4 linked regions of the Drosophila melanogaster genome follow. The protein of the gene in region 3 purifies or fractionates together with the protein of the main gene of each other region. This does not show direct contact. Each region holds a gene or a part of one and is shown on either strand. Other genes may lie near its edges.

The links.
Region 1: the proteins of Cyt-c-p (region 3) and Mlc1 purify together in Drosophila melanogaster (affinity purification with mass spectrometry, with the first as the bait; one large-scale study listed by BioGRID). This does not show direct contact.
Region 2: the proteins of Cyt-c-p (region 3) and Mf purify together in Drosophila melanogaster (affinity purification with mass spectrometry, with the first as the bait; one large-scale study listed by BioGRID). This does not show direct contact.
Region 4: the proteins of Cyt-c-p (region 3) and mAcon1 purify together in Drosophila melanogaster (affinity purification with mass spectrometry, with the first as the bait; one large-scale study listed by BioGRID). This does not show direct contact.

The regions. Positions count from the first base shown.
Region 1 is NT_033777.3:27,656,564-27,661,761, reverse strand, and holds Mlc1 (myosin alkali light chain 1), read left to right. Parts: upstream 1-1,584; 5' UTR 1,585-1,649; coding exon 1,650-1,652; intron 1,653-1,805; coding exon 1,806-1,833; intron 1,834-2,840; coding exon 2,841-3,146; intron 3,147-3,206; coding exon 3,207-3,293; intron 3,294-3,648; coding exon 3,649-3,692; 3' UTR 3,693-3,695; intron 3,696-3,806; coding exon of another isoform or gene 3,807-3,850; 3' UTR 3,851-4,684; downstream 4,685-5,198.
Region 2 is NT_033777.3:15,177,226-15,181,886, reverse strand, and holds the start of Mf (myofilin), read left to right. Parts: upstream 1-1,616; 5' UTR 1,617-1,679; intron 1,680-2,536; exon of another isoform or gene 2,537-2,565; intron 2,566-2,706; 5' UTR 2,707-2,757; coding exon 2,758-2,848; intron 2,849-3,397; coding exon 3,398-3,607; coding exon of another isoform or gene 3,608-3,666; exon of another isoform or gene 3,667-4,661.
Region 3 is NT_033779.5:16,717,902-16,723,155, forward strand, and holds Cyt-c-p (cytochrome c proximal), read left to right. Parts: upstream 1-2,030; 5' UTR 2,031-2,075; intron 2,076-4,107; 5' UTR 4,108-4,148; coding exon 4,149-4,475; 3' UTR 4,476-4,743; downstream 4,744-5,254. Other genes in the region: Cyt-c-d (cytochrome c distal), read left to right, coding at 1,234-1,551. UniProt on the Drosophila melanogaster protein: Electron carrier protein. The oxidized form of the cytochrome c heme group can accept an electron from the heme group of the cytochrome c1 subunit of cytochrome reductase.
Region 4 is NT_033779.5:21,166,628-21,173,716, reverse strand, and holds mAcon1 (mitochondrial aconitase 1), read right to left. Parts: upstream 5,148-7,089; 5' UTR 4,946-5,147; coding exon 4,913-4,945; intron 3,527-4,912; coding exon 1,889-3,526; intron 1,823-1,888; coding exon 1,319-1,822; intron 1,258-1,318; coding exon 1,069-1,257; 3' UTR 533-1,068; downstream 1-532. Other genes in the region: CG31627 (uncharacterized protein), read right to left, coding at 1-429; CG43345 (uncharacterized protein), read left to right, coding at 5,503-6,714, 6,769-7,038.

The sequences.
Region 1 (5,198 bases), on a different chromosome or scaffold from region 3:
CACAATTTCAGTCTCAAGGGGCTATTTATCAATGACTTGCGCACATTAATCTGCGCAGATTCGTGGCAACAATCGGCTGCTGATAGCAGATGTTCAATCAAGGACCAAATCGGCCTAAATACTCATGCACCAGTTACCCGCTTGACAACAGGTGGTGCCCCAAGGAGTAAACAATAACAAGGCCAGGGAGGCTGCGCGGCCAAAAGCCGAGCCGAGGACTCAATGGATTGAGAGATAGGACGAGACAGGACAGCCCAGAGAGTGGGTCTGATGAGCATCAGCCGGAAGTTGGGCACACAGCTGGGCTCAAAACTGGGTCAAAGAAGGACCTGTCCGATGGCACGAACATGGACGTGTGTACATCTACATTTACATAGAAAGTCAAGGACATGGGTGCATGGAAATGGATGTGCCGGCAAAGCCAATGGCCTGCTTGGCTTAATTGCCACTTCCTTGCCAGATTTGCCGCCTTTTAAGCACCTCGCTTACCCTTCAGGCTTGATCGGTCATTATATACCTACCACCCACCATTTGCCTATGCAAACAATTCGAGCATTTAGTTGTTGCTGTACATTTTTGCTCTGAATACGCTTCATGTATCTGTGTCATAGTTTTTATAAATAGCACGCATTAAAATGTTGTACAGGCGGCACACACAAGGCACAAGAAGGCGCCTGAGGGGCCAGTAATGCGCCTTCTATGTAGATGAGATGCCAACGAGGAATAGTATGCTTTTGGAGCATGTATAGTGTATAAATATTGAAAAAGGCTGGTGTTCAGGTGTTCTGGCAGCGGACAAACAAGAAATCGGCCATTTAACACCCCCACATACGACCGGCTGACAAAACATTTCGAATGATAACAGGCAAGACCTGAGAAATACGTACGTTTGCCAAAAAGACGATCAGGGTCGATGAGTGTATAAATATATACATGTATAGGCCACATTTATAGTACATAGCCCCATAGCCCCATCTAAACATCTAAACATACCCCGTAAAACCCCAGCATGGAAGCTCAATCTATTGCGCAGCGCTAAACAATCAATTCTCAAACCCATTCTCCTCCCGCCTGAATGAGAAAATATTATATTATCTGCAAAATCATCTGTAACATCGAATGATATTCAACACTATCCGGCTGGGAATGCCACAAGCGATTATTATTTTGCCTTCACGAACGAAATAAAAAGAAATATTCACAGAATAGCCGAAAAAAAACAAAATGCTTAAAAATAGCCCGGCTAGAGAGCGGACAACAAATGGCTCTGGCTCCATAGGAGAGCCTCCCAATATCTGGTGGTCGTTGGGATCCATGGGATCCCAAAAGAGAGTGGCATTCGAAAAAGTTCCCCCAAGATGAAAGTAAATTCTTGCCATCGCACATACTACAGCATATATTTTGGTGTGTGTATAGCCTTGCGCAGGAAAAGAGCGAGCGTTTCGTCATCCATTCGTATTCGTATTCGTTTTTGAATTCGTTTTCGAAGCTATAGCTGTAAATGTATCTGTATCTGTGTCTGAGTGCTCGGCGATCGGCTGGTTGGCTTTCACCTCAGAATTACCTTGCCGTACTGCCACTGACGAATAACGTTCAGTCGAGACCGAGCTCATCCGCGATACAGTTGATTTTCGCATCAAACAGACAAAATGGTGAGTGCCCAGTCGGCCAAGGAGTCTTCACACATCTTCCACCAATATCCAGTGATATAGATGTACATAAATATATGCAGCAGCTGAAAACTGAAGATTTTCCACACTCGAACTAATGCCAAACTCTCAAATCTTTTTCGATTCCGTTGACAGGCTGATGTTCCAAAGCGTGAAGTTGAAAGTAAGTTAAAACCCCGCACGAAAAGGATTATCTTTAACCTCAAACGAAATCCATCAAAGTTAAACCAACATATTAAATGAACGAGGTAACGGAAAACCCAGCAGAAAGGACTAAAAACAAGTATTATAATATCCATAAAAATACAGATTACATAATGTGCGCGTGTGAGATACACAACAAAAAGTACACAAAAGTCGGTGAACATATTTCGTAATCACTTGGAATATATCGCATACATATACGCATGCCTATATATATAACACTATGCGGAAAATTTTCATTAAGGAATGCTGTCGTCTATATGCATCGCCTGAGCTATTTTCATCGATCGACCATCCAAAACCAGAACGGATAAAGGTTGCCAACACAATTCCGGTAGAGAAAATCTAGTGCAAAGTTAAGTTTGATTTGCGTTATAGAAAAGCCGCGGAAAACAATGAAAATCGTGTGTGTATATGTCGCGAACCCGAACGCGCGATCCTCGTCTTCGAGCCGAAATGCTTCTCGTTTAGAGATCTAATTTTGGCCAAGTTATTTCTTTAGATTTATTTTCGATCAAACGCACAGCGAAAGAGATGAGCAAACTATGCGACTTTGTGTGTGTATATACGCCTATATACTGTGTATATAGCGCAGACGAGGGCGAAGGCGTTCGGTTCGGGTGTCGGATTACGTATACGTAGTGTGTTCTCGGGGCTGGCAACTCTCCCAGATCCGCACTCACGCATACACTCACACACTAAGTAGGCAATGCCCAGCAGCCATGTCAAGATTTTCATGATGACCAAAAATGTGCGTACCAGAAATTTCAGGGTTACCACATCGACCCCGTTTTCGAAAATAAAAAGGGTGGTCAACACCCACCTCTGCTAAAGTATTTTTAAAAACAATTAATGAGGCAGCATAATAAAATGAAACGAATAAAAACAAAAATTTGATGGGATTTACGTTTGATCGACTAACATGAACATGAAGATGTAAATGCTAATCGAGTTCCTTTTGCGCAGATGTCGAATTCGTTTTCGAAGTCATGGGCTCCCCCGGTGAGGGCATTGATGCCGTCGACCTAGGTGATGCCCTCCGCGCTCTGAACTTGAACCCCACCTTGGCGCTGATCGAGAAATTGGGCGGCACCAAGAAGCGCAACGAGAAGAAGATCAAGCTGGATGAGTTCCTGCCCATCTACTCACAGGTCAAGAAGGAGAAGGAGCAGGGCTGCTACGAGGACTTCATTGAGTGCTTGAAGCTCTACGACAAGGAGGAGAACGGCACCATGCTGCTGGCTGAGCTGCAGCACGCCCTGCTGGCGCTTGGTGAGTAATCAACATGCATATATCCTGGGATATCCCTCTAAATCATTGTGTGCATTACAGGTGAGAGCTTGGATGACGAGCAGGTGGAGACCCTGTTCGCTGACTGCATGGATCCCGAGGATGATGAAGGATTTATCCCCTACTCTCGTAAGTATTCGTTCAATGGACGATACTCATCTAATGTTTTTTGTGCATATACGATTTGTAAACGCCGTTTGTCTATTCCACATGTCACTCTTTGTCTGCGCACAAACCAAAAAAATCCCCACCATTCTGCACTGTGCACTTTGTACCACCAACTCGACCTGAAAAACACCAACAAACCTAAAAATATGTGTATGCGTGTATCCATGTTTGCGTGTCCATTCCTCCAACACTACACTCGCAAAAAAAAAAAAAAACCGACCAACTCCCGAATGTCAAACGTATGGTCTCTGCACGGTGATTGCGTCTTGTTTACCCGCCGTTTGTCGCCGATCCACTTGAAATTGAATGAAAACAGAGTTCGTCCAGCGCCTGATGAGCGATCCTGTCGTCTTCGACTAAACAGTAAGTAGGGATGGAGCCCATGGCCACTTCGCCGATCTCTGGATGTCTACTTGTCCAACAAATTTGGGGAATACCTTGCTAATATGGCCCTTTTCTTCGTCTACTCCACAGCATTCCTCGCCAGAATGTGTGACAGACCAGATCAGCTAAAATAGTTGAAAACAACAGCTTCAACAACAACCAACAAACAACAACAACAACAACAACAACACCAACAAACTTTTAGCGACAACCATTCTCCATAGATGTTATATTCATCGCTAACTCTCTCTATCTCTCTCGTATATTATTTTAATTAAAAATTACTTCTGCTACTACAACTGCAAAATTGAACTTCAAGATAATATTATTTTTTAAAAAATAAAAAAATTTAAATTATAAAATAACGAAAACAAAAAAACTGAAAAATATTCAAAGTTTTGTGCACATTATTTTGTTATGAATTATTTTGTTGGTTCAGCCAAAAGCAAAGCAATAGTTAATGATTATTTTATATGAGACGTGAATAAACCAAATAGCAAATAATATAATGTTTAGGCAAATTCAACATCCGAAAGCGTCCAAAAAGGGCAGTTAGCAAAACGCCAAATGTGTAAATTGTGGCCTTTTTGCGTTCTCAATTTACCAAGTGAATGTGTGAAAGTGAAATAAGTCAAATGTATTTAAATAAACACTAAGAATAATTGTGCGGCCGATGAGGTGTTGCACAATCAATATAAAAGAAGATCAGGGTGGTGGAAAATTTGGGATTATGCTATATAGGCAGCCAATATTAATACAAGATGTGGCTGACTTGTTTAATAAACTAAAAGTAATAGAGAAAGTTTAAAAATCTTATACTGAATCCACAAAGAAATATCTAGATATTTTCGCCGCAGACTGCAATACTTCAGCTGAGACACAAACCACCAACGAGAAGCAGGCGAAAGACTAAAATACCGTGTACTAAAATGTCGTTTTCGCTTTTTCTCAACGAGAGAGAGCTTTCGAAATGTTTGTTAAGCTTAGAGCTTGGTTAATATGGTTTTTGTCTCTACTTTCGTAATTATTATTTATTTATTATATTAAAATAGTAAGTGTAAGAAGGGGTGGAAATACCCGCATCCTGGTATCTACCTTCCTCGTCTAGTCAACAATAACAATTATAAACTAATCACAAAAATAGCTTGGGGGTTGAGATTCCGCTGAGCTTTTGCGTCGACGTCGAATCAAAAAAGTGTCAGAAAAGTTTCGGTTAAATACGACGACTACGAATCAGTTGAAATCGAGATAACAAACCGACAAGCCGACCGAGCGGGAGCTGTCTCGCTTTTTTTAAAAATTTGCACCAGCAAAAATCCAAATAAATTAGCAGAGTGCCAGTGAAGTAAGTGAGCGTGAGTGCGCCAAGTCAAAATATAAATATTGTCATTTACGCCGTTTCAAAATATATTTCCGCGAGCATTTCTCGAATCGAAAGTGAACCCAAAATATATTATTCCAAGTGAAAAGGACTAGCCCAAA
Region 2 (4,661 bases), on a different chromosome or scaffold from region 3:
ATTATTTTGTAAGCCGCTAGGCCAATTAAAATATTTTTAAAATAACTAAATTTTATTTGAGATTCCTTTTAAGGGTATGCAATTCCTAGCCAATTTTTGTGTCTCCTTGAGCAAAACATCAAAGATGTTGGAACAAACACAATCAAGCGCCAATAAACTAAAATAAATTAAAATGAAAAACCTGAAAAAAAAACGAAAGTAAAATAAAAAGTTGCTCAATTCATTGTTCTGTGAAGCCAAAAAAGTGTGCCAGAAAGTAAAAGTTGAATCACATCACCGAAATCACTGATTGGCCGAAAGAAAAACCTTTGCCAGGTATTTCCCAATTTCCCGTGAGTTTTTGTGCATTTTCATTTGATTTTCGATTTGGTTCATCAAACCGCATTCGGTTCATTCAAAGTCAAGTTCAAGTTTAAATGACGCCGCCCGCCTGTTTAAGGGTAAAATTCACAAACAAGATTTATATAAGCTAAACAAACAAAGTCAAAAGAACATTTGGATGCAAGTGCATTTGGCCTTGAGTTTATCGGCGGAAAAAGAAAACACATGCAGGAAATTCTGTAAGCGATCTGCACGATTGAAAAGGTCAACATGATCTCCATGAATGTATTTACTATTATTAGAAACATATGTACTCCCAGATCTGCCCTTCAACTCGTTTCGATGTAATTGTATATGATGGGGGAAGCTTTACCCATCTTTGTTTATTCGTTTTCGTAGGAATTTCCCTGGAAAATTTGTGTTTAGATTATCAATCATTGGGTCGCACGTGAGCAAAAAAGATATACCCTACAGGAGGGTATAATCGAAAAAAATGAGTTACTAATGTTTTAAATAATCAATTAACGGCAAATTTTACATAACAAGCTAGAAAATATCAAACTATTCATACAGATTTCATTATAAATAATATATTGTGTGCTTAAAGTATCTATTATTTGGTTAAATGTATCTGGACCAGTTTTGTTTATTTACCTGTGTGGGCATGTTGCTGGAAATGATTTTTCCATTATCAGGAAACTAAATTATAGCTAATGCCAAAGCCAAAAGAAAACATAAACAAATAAACGGAATTTAAATGCTTTTATGGCAAAAATTCCATCGGCCTCTAACCACATTTTGAATTAGTTAGTTACAAAAAACCAAATATTGTAATGTATTAGTTAGAGCTTATAGTTCACTGATCAATTCAATACCACAAGTGACGCCTTTCCCTTGAAACATTCAAAGAATATGTTAAAATTATGAAAAACCATAGGAAAAACAAAAACAGAAAATAGGGTGTGGGATTTTCTGAAAGAAATATGGGCTCATATGTATTGTGTATGTGTGGTATGACTTGGCTGGCTTTCTTTTTATGATCATCGCCAGCGTCATCGCGATTTCGGTATTGAATCGTTGCAAACAATGAGTGGGTGCCACCACACGATCTATCAGAATGTGGTGGGAAAGCTTTCCCATAACCAATCTCCGGAGCTTTGCCACACAGATGCGATGAAAATCGCTCACGGATAGAGCAACCTACGCCGTAAAGGAATGCGCCGTGCTTTTGGTGCCGAAACGGAATGGCAAAATTCTGAAACGAGGAAAATTGGTGAGGCGAATTTTCTTGGGGTTTGCAGTTTGAAAAAATTCTTCGTTGAGGATAGATCGCTATTTTTTAGGAGTAAATTTAAATTGTAAGCGAACCCGAAACATATTAAACAACATACAACTGAATAGTAAATTAAATAATTATAAACGAAATGAAAAACAATAAAATCAAATTAAATAAAGTGCACCATCACATCTGAATGTGGAGACGAACAATTAACTGGTGAAATAATTATGGAATTATGATCGCATTATGAATGATCCGATATGTTCCATAGCGAAAAGACATTGACTATAATTATATAAGAGAGATCGTACTCAATGACATTTGATACCGAAGTGTTGGAGCTCATCAAGAGTTTGTGCAGTGAAATATAAAAAACAAAAATCCCACATTGAATTAAATTCAAAATTAATTTAGTTTAATGGATAATAAAGGCCTATTTTAAACATACTTCAACTAAATTGTTCTTAGACTTTGCACACTTCTTCGATACTTAAGTAAATTCCGCTAAAAGCCAGAATAACAGAACGATTTCAACTCAAGGACATTTAAAAATAAAACCCAATTTAGCTGCAGCTTACACACAGATACACTTACATCCACTCACCCATTTACACGCACACACTGACGACACCTAGAATATTTGTTCTCATACTCAGAAGTGTGAAATTTGCTATGCAACAAAAAAATATTTTTATATTCGAGCAACCAGGAGAATACCACGATACATGAAAAATCACAAAAACCGAACCGAAATATATTTATTTTTAGTGAGATTGATCTTGCGTTAGCTGCTGTTGCCCGATCGCGGTATTATATTAGATTTTATGTATATGTTTTATAAACTTTGCACTGCTCTAAAGTGGCACACAGTCTGTTTATTTTCGAACCGAGAGACTTTCAACGCGAAAGCAAAAAATTCAACTGAGAAAACATCCCATCAATCGAGAGACAAGCGATTCGAATTCGTGCGTGCTGCCTGGCATTTCCCGGGAAATAGATTAAATTGAAAACGGACAAAAAAAAAAAATAAAATAAAATAGGCGGAAAGGAAATTTGAAACACATTGGAAAATTGCTAAGCCATCTCTCTTCCCAACTTTATTACAGCGAACGAGTTCAACGATTTTTTCGTGAACAGAACAAAACAAATCGATCAAAATGTTCAAAAACCACTTGGAAATGATTGGGCGCAATGAGAGCCCCAGCAAGAAGGCGAAATTCTGGCAGTCCTACATCAGGTCCCTGAAGGGTAAGCATTCACTAAATAAGCTCAAAAATTACATTAAAAGATAGGATAGTTATTCAAAACTACTATTGATTGCTTAGTCACAATAGTAGGGAGTTTGCATAGTTCCAAAATAATTCAAAAAACAATTGAAGATTAACTCGAAGTGTTCCCATTTCGATATGATTAAGGGACACTCAAAAGTGATATTATTAAACTCTGGTCGCCAGTGAGCAACACAAATAGCTTAGCCTATATGTGTATAGTCTATTTATTTTGGCAGGTGTCATATCAGCCAAGCTATATACTTAGACACGCTCTGCTGGGAAAGCTTTTCGCCATAGTATATTCGAATATATAGAGAGAAATTTGTAAAATATATATGCTCAGGCCTTAAACAAAGAATAGGCTAAAATATAGGATACACATACAGGGGGCGCATCTATGATAGAAACCGAATAGAAATCATACATTTCTGCAGCGCTGGCATTGAGCCAAATAGTGAGAATAGAATAGCCGAAATATTTGAAAAGCAATGAACTAACGCGTCGTTATCCAAACAACTATTTATAGGCTCCGAGGATATCCGTGCCCACGAGGCGCCCCGTGCCTCTCGTCCCTACAGCTCCTACCTGGACTCGCCCTCCTACAGGAGCATCTATGACGAGCCCGCCACCGCCAATGAGCGCGTCCAGTCCTCTGGCTACAGATATCTGCCAGTGAGCCGCGACACCTACGGCTACTCGCCCCGTGCCATCTACGATCATCACTACAGCCGAACAAGTAAGTTGGTACCATATACGGACCACATACTGTACTATCTACAGCCGATTCCCGCCTAACTGCTTCACACAGCCGAGTATCTGTATCTTAATGCTTCCGAAATCGGTGGCCTTGCAAATGTGGATATTGAACTAAGATATCCTGTTATTACCATTTAAAGTATATTTCAAATAATATAGATAAATGATTATGATTGTTTACATAACAAATTATCCGCCATGAAACTAAAAGATATTTTTAACATTCTTGAAACTGGAATAGTAACATAGATGAAATTCAGGTTCAAAAGTTTATGTCAATGCTTTCAATCTAGTTTTTTAGAAAAAAACGTTTAAAATTTTAATTAAAATTTAAAATTAAAAAAGGCAATCACCTGATTGTTATTTGCAAGGTTACATAAGCTTCGGTCCATCCGAACGCCACAAGTTCTTTCAGCCTTTCTGCTTCGCTTCGATGCGCCATCCATCAATCAGTCAGTCAGTCAGTCAATCAGTCAGTCAATCAGTCGAGTCATTACAATCATCTTACAACTGCAATCTCGCCACTGCCTGCTATTGAAGCTTTTGACAACACCTTGAATATCTCAAAACCGCCATATTTTTATGCGTTTCATTTGAGATGAAAACTGGTGCGAGCGCTATGATTTCATAAATTTAAAAATAAAAATGGACAGCGCCAAACGGCCAAATACAATTACGTCAATGAAAATTTTCGTTTCGTATCGTTTCGTTTCGCCTCGGTCGTGTTGATTTTGGCAAAAGGCCTCAAAAATGAACAAAAAAAATAAAAAAAATGAAGACAATAATATAGGCAACACACACAGGCGCTATATATCAAGTCAGGTATATAAGCGGAATTTTTGACTCAATTTTTTTTTTCGGTGCGTGCTCTGGGATCAAATGACTGTGGCGGCCCTCGGTGCGCGGAAACCGAAGTTCTCTTTTCCGATTTTCCGAATTTCCACACACTCACACACTGGCAAAAGCCCCAAGCACCCAAATCCGAACACCCAGCCCCCTGAAGTCCGCCCATTTCACCTTCAACCTGGTACCCC
Region 3 (5,254 bases):
TAAACAATATAGCCTCCCCACAACCTTTCCGCAGGCTATCTCTTTCCTACTACTACCCCATGTTCGGCCGAGCCCGTTCAAGCGTAATTTAATTTCTTGCACCATTTATTTATAGTGGTCCGGCAAAAGAACTCGGGCCAACAGGCAGGATAGTTTAGCCTGCGGGTAAATTATGGTTCCATTGCCAATTAGGTTAGGTCACAACCAGGATGTCCCATTGGGGATATATGTATGTATGTATGTAGATGGATGCACAGGGAGTACACCTAATACCAGTGCAGGGCTGCCAGGAAAATGTCATTGTTTGGATTTAGAATGTGACATTTACATACGTACGTAATATAAATATATAAATAATATCATTCTCTGAAAAATATCATAATGCACTCTTGTAAATTTAAAACAAATTTAATTTTAAGATAATTGGTTGAGATAAACATAGTTAATATTTTCAATTGATCCTTTAAATTTTAAATTGCAGGTGAATATCATCCCTGTGTGACCGTTGTATGCGGCATGGTTCCATGTCTCTTTCCCGTTATTCATTTCCCTCTGCTTTGTTTTTTTTTTTTTTGGTTTTGTTATGCGGTGGCATCTGTTTTTGCCACAGGAAAATGGTTGAGAGAGGGGAAGGCAGGGGGCGAAAGCGGAGAGTGCGTAAAATGCGTTTTAATTGAAAGGAAATGTTCAAAGCACATGTGCATCTGCTAGTCAACGAATTGGTTGGGAAAGGGGGTGGCAAGCCGAATGTGTCTGCTAATTGAATTACCTTTCGGTTGCTTTTCCCATTAGAAGTGCCGACAAGTTCTCGAGCTGCTTGTTTGCTTTTCATTTAATACCCATTTTGATTTAATTTTCGTTTTTCCTATTTTTCTGACCCAATTTTGTTTTGCTTTCGTGCATTAGCAGCTGTCTCTGTCTATCGCTGTGCAGCCAAGAGAGTGACCAAGAGAAACGCTCTCTCTCTCTCTCTCAGTTGTCCAGGACTTGCACTTTTCAAACGGTTTTTTAGGACACTGAAACAAATTGAATCTGTTTTTCTTTTCTATCAAATTTTTAGTTCTACACTTTTCTTTTTCATGATAGTTTCGGAATCAACCAATTTCTATTTGATCCAAATTAACAAAAAACAAATAACAAAAAATTAAAAAATATAGAAATAAAAGCTGCATAAAAAGTTGAATTCTAAATCATAAATATCATTTTTCCCTATTTGTCTTTCAGGCTTCCAAGATGGGTTCTGGTGATGCAGAGAACGGCAAGAAGATATTTGTGCAGAAGTGCGCCCAGTGCCACACCTACGAAGTGGGCGGCAAACACAAGGTGGGCCCAAATCTTGGCGGGGTCGTGGGTCGCAAGTGTGGCACAGCAGCGGGATACAAGTATACCGATGCCAATATAAAGAAGGGCGTTACCTGGACAGAGGGGAATTTGGACGAGTACCTCAAGGACCCGAAGAAATACATTCCCGGAACAAAGATGGTGTTCGCAGGTCTTAAAAAGGCTGAGGAGCGGGCCGATTTGATTGCCTTCCTCAAGTCAAACAAGTAGAATCGCCTGCGAAACAACAAGATCGGCCACCATGCTATCCAGAAAACTGCGCTTAAAGACTACAAACATATTCAAAAGATGACGTATTTCACTTGGATTTCGAAACTTTGATTGGGAATGGTCGAGCTCAAATACATTTCAAAAAGGTTTACTTTCACTTTAGCCAATTAAAGTTGATAAACCAAAAACCCTCTTCTTAATTCAAGTTGTGTGCGACGCGGGTGGAGGAAAGTGTTGTACCAATCAGCTTTGGTCACAGTTGGTTTTATGGTCCTACTAGCAAAATGTAATAAATTGGAGAAGCTTGTTAAATAATGCAAATTTTCCAGAGGCTTTCCAATATAGTCCCGTTAATAGGGGAAAAAATTACTTATACGCCGTGTGGTGGATAAATACGGGTACAAAAGCTTGCGACATTTTTTAATGCGTGGCCCCCGGTCACTCTGGTCACACTAATTACCTATCGACATAACGCGCGCTCGTCATTCGTGAAAAATCGGCGACGCTCGACGTTTGTGTTCAATGTAAGTAGTGGGTGGAATTTTTGTATTTTCAAGTGACGTAAATATTACCTTGAATAGTTATTGATTATCAAGCCCCAAGTCAGATAAAGATTAGAAACACTTCCGTGTCATTTACGTAACATCCAGCAGCTGTGTTTTGTTCTGAAAATGATTCGCATGCAAATTTAACGTATTCTTTGGGGGATGATTCAGGTTACATAAACGTGTCCTTGTGTGTGTGTGTATAAGTGTGATTTTTTATTAGATATTTAATAGTTTATTTAGCAAATATTAGCAGTGGTGTATTAATAGTAAAAATAGCATCCCAAAGTCACATTGCCATTGAAAAAAGCCCCGGAGAGAGTCGATTACATGAGCAAAGAGAGTGGCGTACCCGATCATCAGCTGTCTCGCTCGCTCAGTGGCAAAAATTAATTCTTGGATTTTTTGTCAATGCTTCAGCTTTGGAGTCTTTAAGCGCGCCACGTGGTTGCTAAGCAGGTTTTGCTTTCTGCGATGTGCAGTTTTCTATAATATAAATAAAAGAGAATTCACCTCTGCGAAAAGGCGGCTTATGTAACATTCGCTGCTCTCAGGAAACTTGGATGTTGGCCCAATTTTCACTCATCTCTTTGTTCTCACCACCTTGCTCACCCACACAAGGAAAAACACAGCTGCCTTTGGCCTGCTTCCAATTTTCCAATTGCACTTTCCCTTCATCTCACGCACACTCACGCACGGCAATTAACTGAAAAATACTCAACAAGGCCAAATCGGATGTTGACATTGTTGTTGCTTTGCCACCTCTCACTGCCAAAGTGCATGATACTCTACACAGAAAGAAGTGAAAAAAAGGTTGATATTAAATGCAAATTATGTGTAAAAGCGCACAAAATCAATAGTCTATATATATTAGGTTTGTTTTTATAGACAAATGCATATAAAATAAAATTAGTTTTCTAGAATTGAAAGAGCTTCAGCTAATCGAATTTCTCTCAGTCTATGTGCGTGATGTGTAGGTGAATTACTCACCGCAACGGTACTTTGCACTCTCAAGTTCAAATTGCTGCATGCAATTTATAATCCGGCAATTAGCAGGATGACCGTAACACAGACCCTGGAATAATAGAATAGTTATGTAAACAACTAACGTTTTTCGTATTATGATGCTTCCTGGAAGTTTTCCGCCTGTTGCTGAGCAGTTCTGACGCAATTAATCGGCGACTGGCAAATATAAGCGAGTGAGACACAAAGAGAGTGTGAGAAGGAGAGAAAGAGTGTGGGGGCAACATGTGACCAGCGTCTGAAGCTTTTTCAAAGTGTGTTTCTGATGACGTTGCGACGCCCTCCACGCGCGTATTAGTGAGAGCAAAGTATGTGGGTTAAAAAGGGGGTGGCCGCAAATGGAAATGCAGACTACGTTAGATAATAATTTCGGGCCTTATCAGAAACAACAGCCGACTAATGCACTTAGCATGAGCAATTTTAATAATTCCGTTTCCGCAGGGAGCTTATCAATTGTTTACATAACGGGGCAAGGGGACAAATATTAATTCACGGTCCATAACTACCTACATTAACCCATTATTTCCCAAGCATGGAAATTTTTGATGATATAAAGACGTTATTATTTTAATACCTTAAAAATATATAATATTATATAAGTAACGTTGGGAAATCAACTGGTTAATAAATTTTAAATTTCGGGTTTATTTATTCAATAATCTTTTGATAATGTATGGCTGAAAGTGAAGCTTTTATCAGTATCTACACAATGGTTCATTGGGGCTAATAATAAATGGTATCAAATATCGTATAACTATTTTTTGCAGTGAAACCAGAATTTCGGACTAAGTACATAAGCAAATGATATAAAATATATATTGTAATCAATTTATCAGAATAGAACAAATTAATTGGTAGCAGTTATGAACTTTGAACCATTTAGTAGCCAGTTTTTTAAGTTTTTCAAACCTAAGATGTAAGATAACAGATATATTGGTTACCCTTGTTTTATGAACCACTCATTAATAACAAACATTTCTTTTTACAGTCGAGTCCGTGTTAACACATTAATTAACCACATAATCCATAATGGGCGTTCCTGCTGGTGATGTTGAGAAGGGAAAGAAGCTGTTCGTGCAGCGCTGCGCCCAGTGCCACACCGTTGAGGCTGGTGGCAAGCACAAGGTTGGACCCAATCTGCATGGTCTGATCGGTCGCAAGACCGGACAGGCGGCCGGATTCGCGTACACGGACGCCAACAAGGCCAAGGGCATCACCTGGAACGAGGACACCCTGTTCGAGTACCTGGAGAACCCCAAGAAGTACATCCCCGGCACCAAGATGATCTTCGCCGGTCTGAAGAAGCCCAACGAGCGCGGCGATCTGATCGCCTACCTGAAGTCGGCGACCAAGTAATGGTGCTGTCCATCAACTTACCCACAACCACTGCAGGATGTCAAACTGTATTATTGTGTTCAGTCACAGTCCGGCACGCAAATGCAGCAGCAGCAACAACTACAACTACAAATCAACATAGTACAGACCTAAAGAACTACAATTATGTTAATTATAAAGTTTAAATAGGACAATTTATTATTTAATTTAAATAAAAAGTGGAATATTTAATTCAAACCCGATGAGAATTGTGACATCCACAAAAAAGTTAAATAATAAAAAAAGAACTAAAAAATGATATAAAATCTGTTTTATGCGAGGACCTGGTTTTTGTAGCTCGCAGGTCAAAAAGAATAAAAAAAGCTTCTTCAGATTTTTGACTCGGGCAACTCAAATTAAAAATAAGAGATACCAATCATATTTATAAAACAATTGTCCTGGCAATTTCTATCAATAGGTATCTGTTAGTCGTCAAACTCGACTGCAGCATACTCTTTGCGTCTGTCAAAAATGTTGTTGGCTGATCTATATAGGCCTTACTCATCTGAGTCGCACAAAGATGACCACAAATCATCCTGGGTTGCTGCAAATTCCTTAGTTCATTGCGTGGAGGTAGACATCACTAAAAACATCCAACAAAGAAAGAGTCGATACGTTACGCAGAAACATCACAATAAGATTGTATTACTGAGAGAGAAAGTAGAAAACTATTAGGGTCGAAATGCTCTCTTAATGCACATTCTATTTGGCCAATCGTTAAACAAGAATACACTGGTATTTTTATATTTTTTGGCTAATTT
Region 4 (7,089 bases), 4.4 Mb from region 3:
CTCCATCTCAACTTTATAGCGAAGCTTGTGAATCATATGTTTCCAAAACCCAGATGGCGAGTCCGCTTTCATTTCATCGGCAATCGCATCCCAGATTCTGTCTTTGAGCTCGAAATTGAAGAAATCTTTGTTGCGCTGATTCCACAAGCATTTGTGATCTTCATACAATGCGATTAACTTTAATTTAGCCTTGGCGGTCTTCATGAACTCCGGGCTAGGTGAGAAGGTGATGGGGGTCTTTCGCAAAGAAGTGGCGTCTGTATAAGTGTAGGAGCCTGTGCTGGAGTCAAAGGACGTTGTACTCTGTTCCTGACGCTTAAGTTTTGCAGCCAGTAGGGCTCGTCTTCTTCCCAACGATGGCTTGTCGGAGAGTGAAAAGAAATCCGTGCTGGAAGCAACGGAAGTTTTACTTTGAGCTCTGCGTTTCATAGTCCTAGAATTGGATTTACTAATAATTTATATTTGATTGACAATTCGACATATTTTCCAAAAGCTATGGGTGAATAATTAAGTAATCTGCCCCAGTAGATTCTATTATTGATATTATGCTTTATTGTGCAAATTGTTGTGTCTTACGTCTTATAATTGATAAAATTATGTTAATAATGAAGAAAATATAGAGGACACGGGATGAATTGACGGCACTTATTGTCCGCTTTTTTGTTTTAACTGTTGTTTATTAAATGAAAGAATCGGTTTAATACATATTACTTGAGTTTTATTCGCACTTAAAACAGTTTCATAGTAGAGGCAATCTGTAGAGCATTTGGACAAATTCAAAAAGAACAAAAATTGAAGGAAACGCATGCATAGCCAGAATTAAAAATAAAATTGTGTATAATTATATATATAAAACTCTTACAATTTCTCGCTATCGTTCGGCTACATAATTCACTTTTAAAGCTGCACACTCGATATAGTCAAAATATAATATAAACAATTTGAAAAGAATTGAATAACAATACCATAATTCGATTGCTTCCGTTGTGAATTTGAGTGTGTTCACCTACAGGAAGAAGGTTGGGATCAGGCTTCTTGACTGGGTGTCTTAAGTAGGTCCAGGACCATTTACTGGGCCAGCTCCTTCATGCGGTTGAGAGCGCTGCCGGCCTTGAACCAGCCGATCTGTAGGTCGTTCAGGGTGTGGTTAAGCTTGATCCTCTCGACCTTGTCGCCATTCTTGATTTCGGCATCTACGGGCTTTCCAGGCGCAAGGGATTTCAGGTTGAGCAGGGAGATTTTGCTCGTGGGCTGGATCTGTTGAAGTACAAAGATATGGTTAATATGACCTTAGTCACAGAAGCTAAGAGTCGCAAACCTTATCGTAATCAGCGGGATTGGCGAAGGTGAGAGGCAGAAGACCCTGTTTCTTCAGGTTGGTCTCGTGGATACGGGCGAAGGACTTGACGATAATGGCACGACCACCAAGGTGACGGGGCTCCAAAGCGGCATGCTCGCGGGACGAACCCTCGCCGTAGTTCTCATCGCCGACGGCCACCCACTTGATGCCGTTGGCCTTGTAGTCGCGGGCTACGTCGGGAACTCCTCCCCAGCTACCGTTGCGTTGGTTCTTGATGTTGTTCATCTCGTTGTTTTCGTAGTTGGTGGCTCCGATAAACATGTTGTTGGAGATGTTGTCCAAATGGCCACGGTACTTCAGCCAGGGTCCGGCAGCGGAGATGTGGTCAGTGGTGCACTTTCCCTTAACCTTGATCAGCACAGTCAGATCGGTCAGATCCTGGCCGTTCCACTTGTCAAAAGGCTCCAGCAGCTGCAGACGCGTCGACTTGGGGTCGACAGCCACCTTGACATTTTCGCCGCTCTGTGGGATTTCCATATTGATTCTTAAGAACAATATAAATCAGTTTGGGAATTTAAATGTACTTACGGGTGGGGGAGCAGTGTAGGTGTCCTGGCCGGGATCGAAACCCTTGGCGGGCAGCTCGTCGCCGAAGGGAGCCTTGAGCTTGAACTTCTTGCCATCAGCACCAGTAAGCTCGTCGGTCAGCGGGTTGAAGTCCAGACGACCGGCGATGGACAGAGCGGTGACCAACTCGGGACTAGTGACAAAGCAATGGGTGGCCGGGTTAGCGTCGTTCCTGCCAGTAAAGTTTCGGTTGTAGGAGGTGACAATGGTGTTCTTGTCGCCCTTCTTAACGTCCTTACGATCCCACTGTCCAATGCAGGGACCGCAAGCGTTGGCCAGAACGGTACCGCCGAACTTGTCGAACACCTCAGAGATGCCGTCGCGCTCGATGGTGGCACGGATCTGCTCTGATCCGGGAGTCACATTGAAAGGAATCTTCGACTTGAGGCCATGGCTCATGGCATCCTTGGCGATGCTGGCGCAGCGACCCATGTCCTCATACGAAGAGTTGGTGCAAGAGCCAATAAGACCTACACGGATGTCCATAGGGTACCCGTTCTTCTTCGAGTTCTCGCCTAGCTTGCTGATGGGATGGCCCAAATCGGGAGTGAATGGTCCGTTAACATGGGGCTCCAGGGTGTCTAGGTTGATTTCAATCAGCTCATCGTACTCGCAGTTCTTGTCAGCGGACAGAATCTTGGCCTGGTACTTCTGGGCTTCGGAGGCAATGCCAGCACGGCCTGTCGATTTCAGGTAATCAGCCATGCGCTGGTTGAAGGGGAACAGAGAGGTGGTAGCTCCGATCTCAGCACCCATGTTGCAGATGGTGGCCATGCCTGTACAAGAGATAGAGTCAACACCCTTGCCGTGATACTCAATGATGGCACCGGTGCCTCCCTTGACGGTCAGGATATCGGCAACCTTCAGGATAACATCCTTGGGCGAGGTCCAGCCGCTGATCTTGCCAGTCAAATTGACACCAATCACCTTGGGGCACTTCAGCTCCCAGGGGATGTCGGCCATCACATCGACGGCATCAGCACCACCAACGCCAATGCACAGGCCACCCAAGCCACCACCGTTGGGGGTGTGTGAGTCAGTACCAATCATCAGCAGGCCGGGGAAAGCGTAGTTCTCCAGAATGATCTGATGGATGATTCCGCTGCCTGGCTTCCAGAAGCCCAATCCGTACTTTGCACAGGTGCTGGCCAAGAAATCGTACACTTCCTTGTTCAGGTCCTTGGCACGGGCTAAATCCTTGGGTCCACCAATCTGGGCCTCGATTAAATGATCACAGTGAACAGTGGAGGGCACAGCCACCTTTTTCAGTCCGGAGGAGATAAACTGAAGCAGAGCCATCTGTGCAGTGGCATCCTGCATAGCCACACGATCGGGGCGAAGACGCAGGTACGAAGTACCGCGCACGATGTCCTGGTTTGCGGGATCGTCCAGATGCGAGTACAGCACCTTCTCGGAGAGAGTCAGTGGGCGGTTCAAGCGACCGCGCACCACTTCCAGGCGCTTGTTCAGCTTCTCGTACGGCAGGTAGACGTCCGAGTCGAACTTGGACAGAGCCACTTTGGAGGCGGTGTAGCAGGAGGCGTGGAACTGACGCACCACTGTGGCTTCGGACGCAACATGCTTGCCCAGTCGACACACCTGGAAAGCAGATAAGAAGTCGAACTGTTAAATATGGTGAAGTGGTACATTTAGCAATCAAGATCAAGTAATTAACACAATGTGATTCTCTAGTTTATTTGCACTTCGCACACTGTGAGATTTTATTTATTCGCTTGGTAGCCCAATAAACACTTGATTATCATGTCAAGAGGACGAGTCCTCGTCACTTTAATTAAATTGATTCCTCTATCAGGAAATGATAATTCCCAAAGATATTCTGACAAGAGTACAATCATGTGGGGACCATATCTGTGAAAATTCTTCTTTACTGTACATTTAATCTTGCATACATATATAACAAATGTAAAACATTATTATCACCGCTTTCACTTGTTTTAAGATCAATATATTGCTAAAGCTAATAAATTTTAATCGTCTTGAAATTTTTGAATAGCCAAAAATAATCCATTGATCCATTTACCGCTTCAGAGTGAAATTTTTCCAAATATTTTTTTGAGATTAGTAAAATGATTGAAAGTTTACATTTAACAATCAAAGTATTTTAAGTGCTAGCCAAAGTGCTTTAAGGTTCTTCGAACTGCAGAATAAAAAAATAAAAAGTAGCTGGAAATATAGTTTGTTTGTAAGCCTTTCAAATTGTTACAATATTCTACAGAACACTCCAATTAGAAGAACCACGTGACGACACGACTGTATGTACATACACGCAAATCGAAACAATTGCAATGACAATTACGTCAAATAGGTCGTTAACTTATGGGCAGAGTACAGTGAAACCTTTCTCGAAGCTGACGTGGAAAAACCCCACTTGAAAGGCAAAACTCCTCCAATGCGCGTGATACTCAAGTTAAACGGCGCAACTTTTTTAAGCTATATTTAGTGCTGGCATTATCAAAGTGTAAGTAAACCTGTCACAGATAAGACGGTCCTCCGCCACAAGATATATGCTCTAGAGGGTGTTCGCCTCCTGGTTAAATAACTGGACCCCGGCGATTATGTAAATGCAACTATGCCAACCATCGAACCCCCACGAATCGCTGTTAATTGTTGAGAGCTAACGATTTCGCATGGTTCACTGCTGCGTATTCAGTATACATGTTTGGGATGCAGGGCCTGTAGAATCACAAACACTGCGAACTCGGTTACCTAACCACTTCGAATTTTATGATTTTAGGTTAGAAAACGCTGTGCGAAAAATTTGCTATTTTTCGCTGCCCACATCCTGCTGGGTGTGTAAGAAATGGGCAATGATTTTTTGTAAACTTTCGCGCAGTGCTCTGTCCAGTTGTCTTTATCGCAGCTTGGAATTTCGGGGTTCCATTCACAGATTCTATACGTAAACGTATATATAGCCGTGGTTATATATTGGCCGACTGGAGGCACAGGCTCCGCTCTAGAACCTACCTGTGCCTGGGCGTTCATCAATCTCGCAGCCATGGTCGCGTCCTGATTAAGCGATACTCGAAATAAACCCGACGAAATTGATATTGCAGCAAATGCTTCGAAGCCGTCAAAATTTTCAGCCCTCTCAGCCGGAAGATTTTAAGACAGACTAAATTCTTTACCACGGCGACCAGTGTTAGCTGGCGTCACGCATACGCGTCAGCAATGTTCCGCCGGCTTGTTTCCCGCCAAAATTGGGTCGTTAAATAAATAGGACCATAGAAAGTTTATCAGTTTTGAATTAAAGCGATAAACATTTATTAACTTCAAGAGAATTAATGGACTCTATGGCGTTAAAACTTAAATCGAAGTAAATGCTGAAATAATGCACTGACGACAACTTATTTTTCTGAGCAGGGACTTGGATTAATTTATCCTTTAGCTTTTTTTTAGCAGCCAGCGCAGACGACTACCGCGCTGTGCTGTCCAACACTGCCCATTTGTTTGCGTGGGCGGGTGATACTTTCCCACAACTGCGCGAATAATAAATAGGCTCGGCTGTGAAAAATGTTTGACAATGGCCAGTCAGCATTAGTCCTGATCCCCTTGCCATGTCCGAGCGTCGCGTAGTGCATGAGATACCCGGAGAGTACCAGCCAGTGCCCAGAGCACCGGAAGAGCCAACCCCTTTGACCACATCGTGTTGCCGGCGTCCCAATTGCGGCCTAGGGCTCCAGGATGAGCGAAATATCTGTTCCTGCAAGCACGGCTACATCATACCAGTGCTTATACTCTTCGTTCTGGTGATGATTGTGCTTCTGTTGCCTTGGGAGACCTACCATCGAAATGAAAACGGAAACAGCCCCGTTCCGGTGGAAAAGCCGTTACCATGTCAACTCGAACTGGTGGAGAGCTTGCCCTTGGGGTTGAACTACAGCCAATGGCAAAGCCACCCCCAACTGAGTAGCACCTTTGATGCCTGGCAGCTACTACTAGGCAGGGCCAAGGCATCGTTGGACATCGTTTCTCCGCACTGGACACTGCGCGGCTTGGACGTCAACGATAGCAGCACCGGGCCTGGAGATCAACTCTTTCAGCAGCTACTGTCGAATGGAGATGCCGGCAGACCCAAGCTGCGCGTGCGGATTGTGGTTAATCGCAGCCACGATAGCCTGTGGCATGCTGATGCCCGTATCTTGGCTAACTACGGAGCAGCCGACGTCGTGGGCATTAATTTTCTGCACTCAAAACTGTGGTTAGTGGACGGGGAGCACTTCTACTTGGGCACAGCTAGCATGGACTGGCGATCACTGACGCAACGCAAGGAACTAGGTGTGCTGGCCAGAAATTGTCCCCATCTTGCTCTAGATCTGGGAAAGATCTTCAAGGCGTATTGGTACCTGGGCAGCAATGAAGTGCCAAAGAGCTGGCCGTGGATATACCACACGCACATCAATCAAAGAAGACCGCTTTTGCTAAACATCAACAAAAAACATACAATGAGAGCTTATTTATCCACATCACCACCAGAGTTGATCGCTACTGGAAGGACCCGAGAGCTAGATGCCATTTTAGAGGCTATCGACAAGGCCACAGACGTTATATACCTCTCCTTAATGGAGTACTCTCCTCGGCTAAGACGGAGTAACAAATTGGAGTACTGGCCGGTCATAGACAATGCCCTGCGTAGAGCTGCCTTGGAACGCGGTGTGGCCATTAAGGTGCTTATTTCATGGTGGAAGTATTCGGATCCCAGCGAGGATCACTTCTTGAGGTCCCTTCAAGCGCTCGACAAAATTACGGAAGGAGTAGATATACAAATGGTAATGAGCTTATAAGTATTGGCAATTTTATTAACAATTTCTTTGCTCTTGCAGCGACGTTTTGTTGTACCCACCACAAATGAACTGGAGAGGATTTCCGGCGGTAGAGTTAACTGCAACTCGTACTTAGTCACCGATAGGGTTGCCTTTATAGGCACCTCCAGTTTTTCGGGAGAGCATTTTACTTACTCAGCTGGCATTGGATTAGTACTCCAGGACATGGAATACAACAATAATAGTCTCCGTACAGATTTAATGGCAATTTTTCTGCGGGACTGGTTTAGTCCCTATGCATTGCCACTGAAACCAATTTTACGAATTTGAATTACGCTTTTAAACCTGCCGGCATTTTGCAACACCGCCACCAGCTGTTCA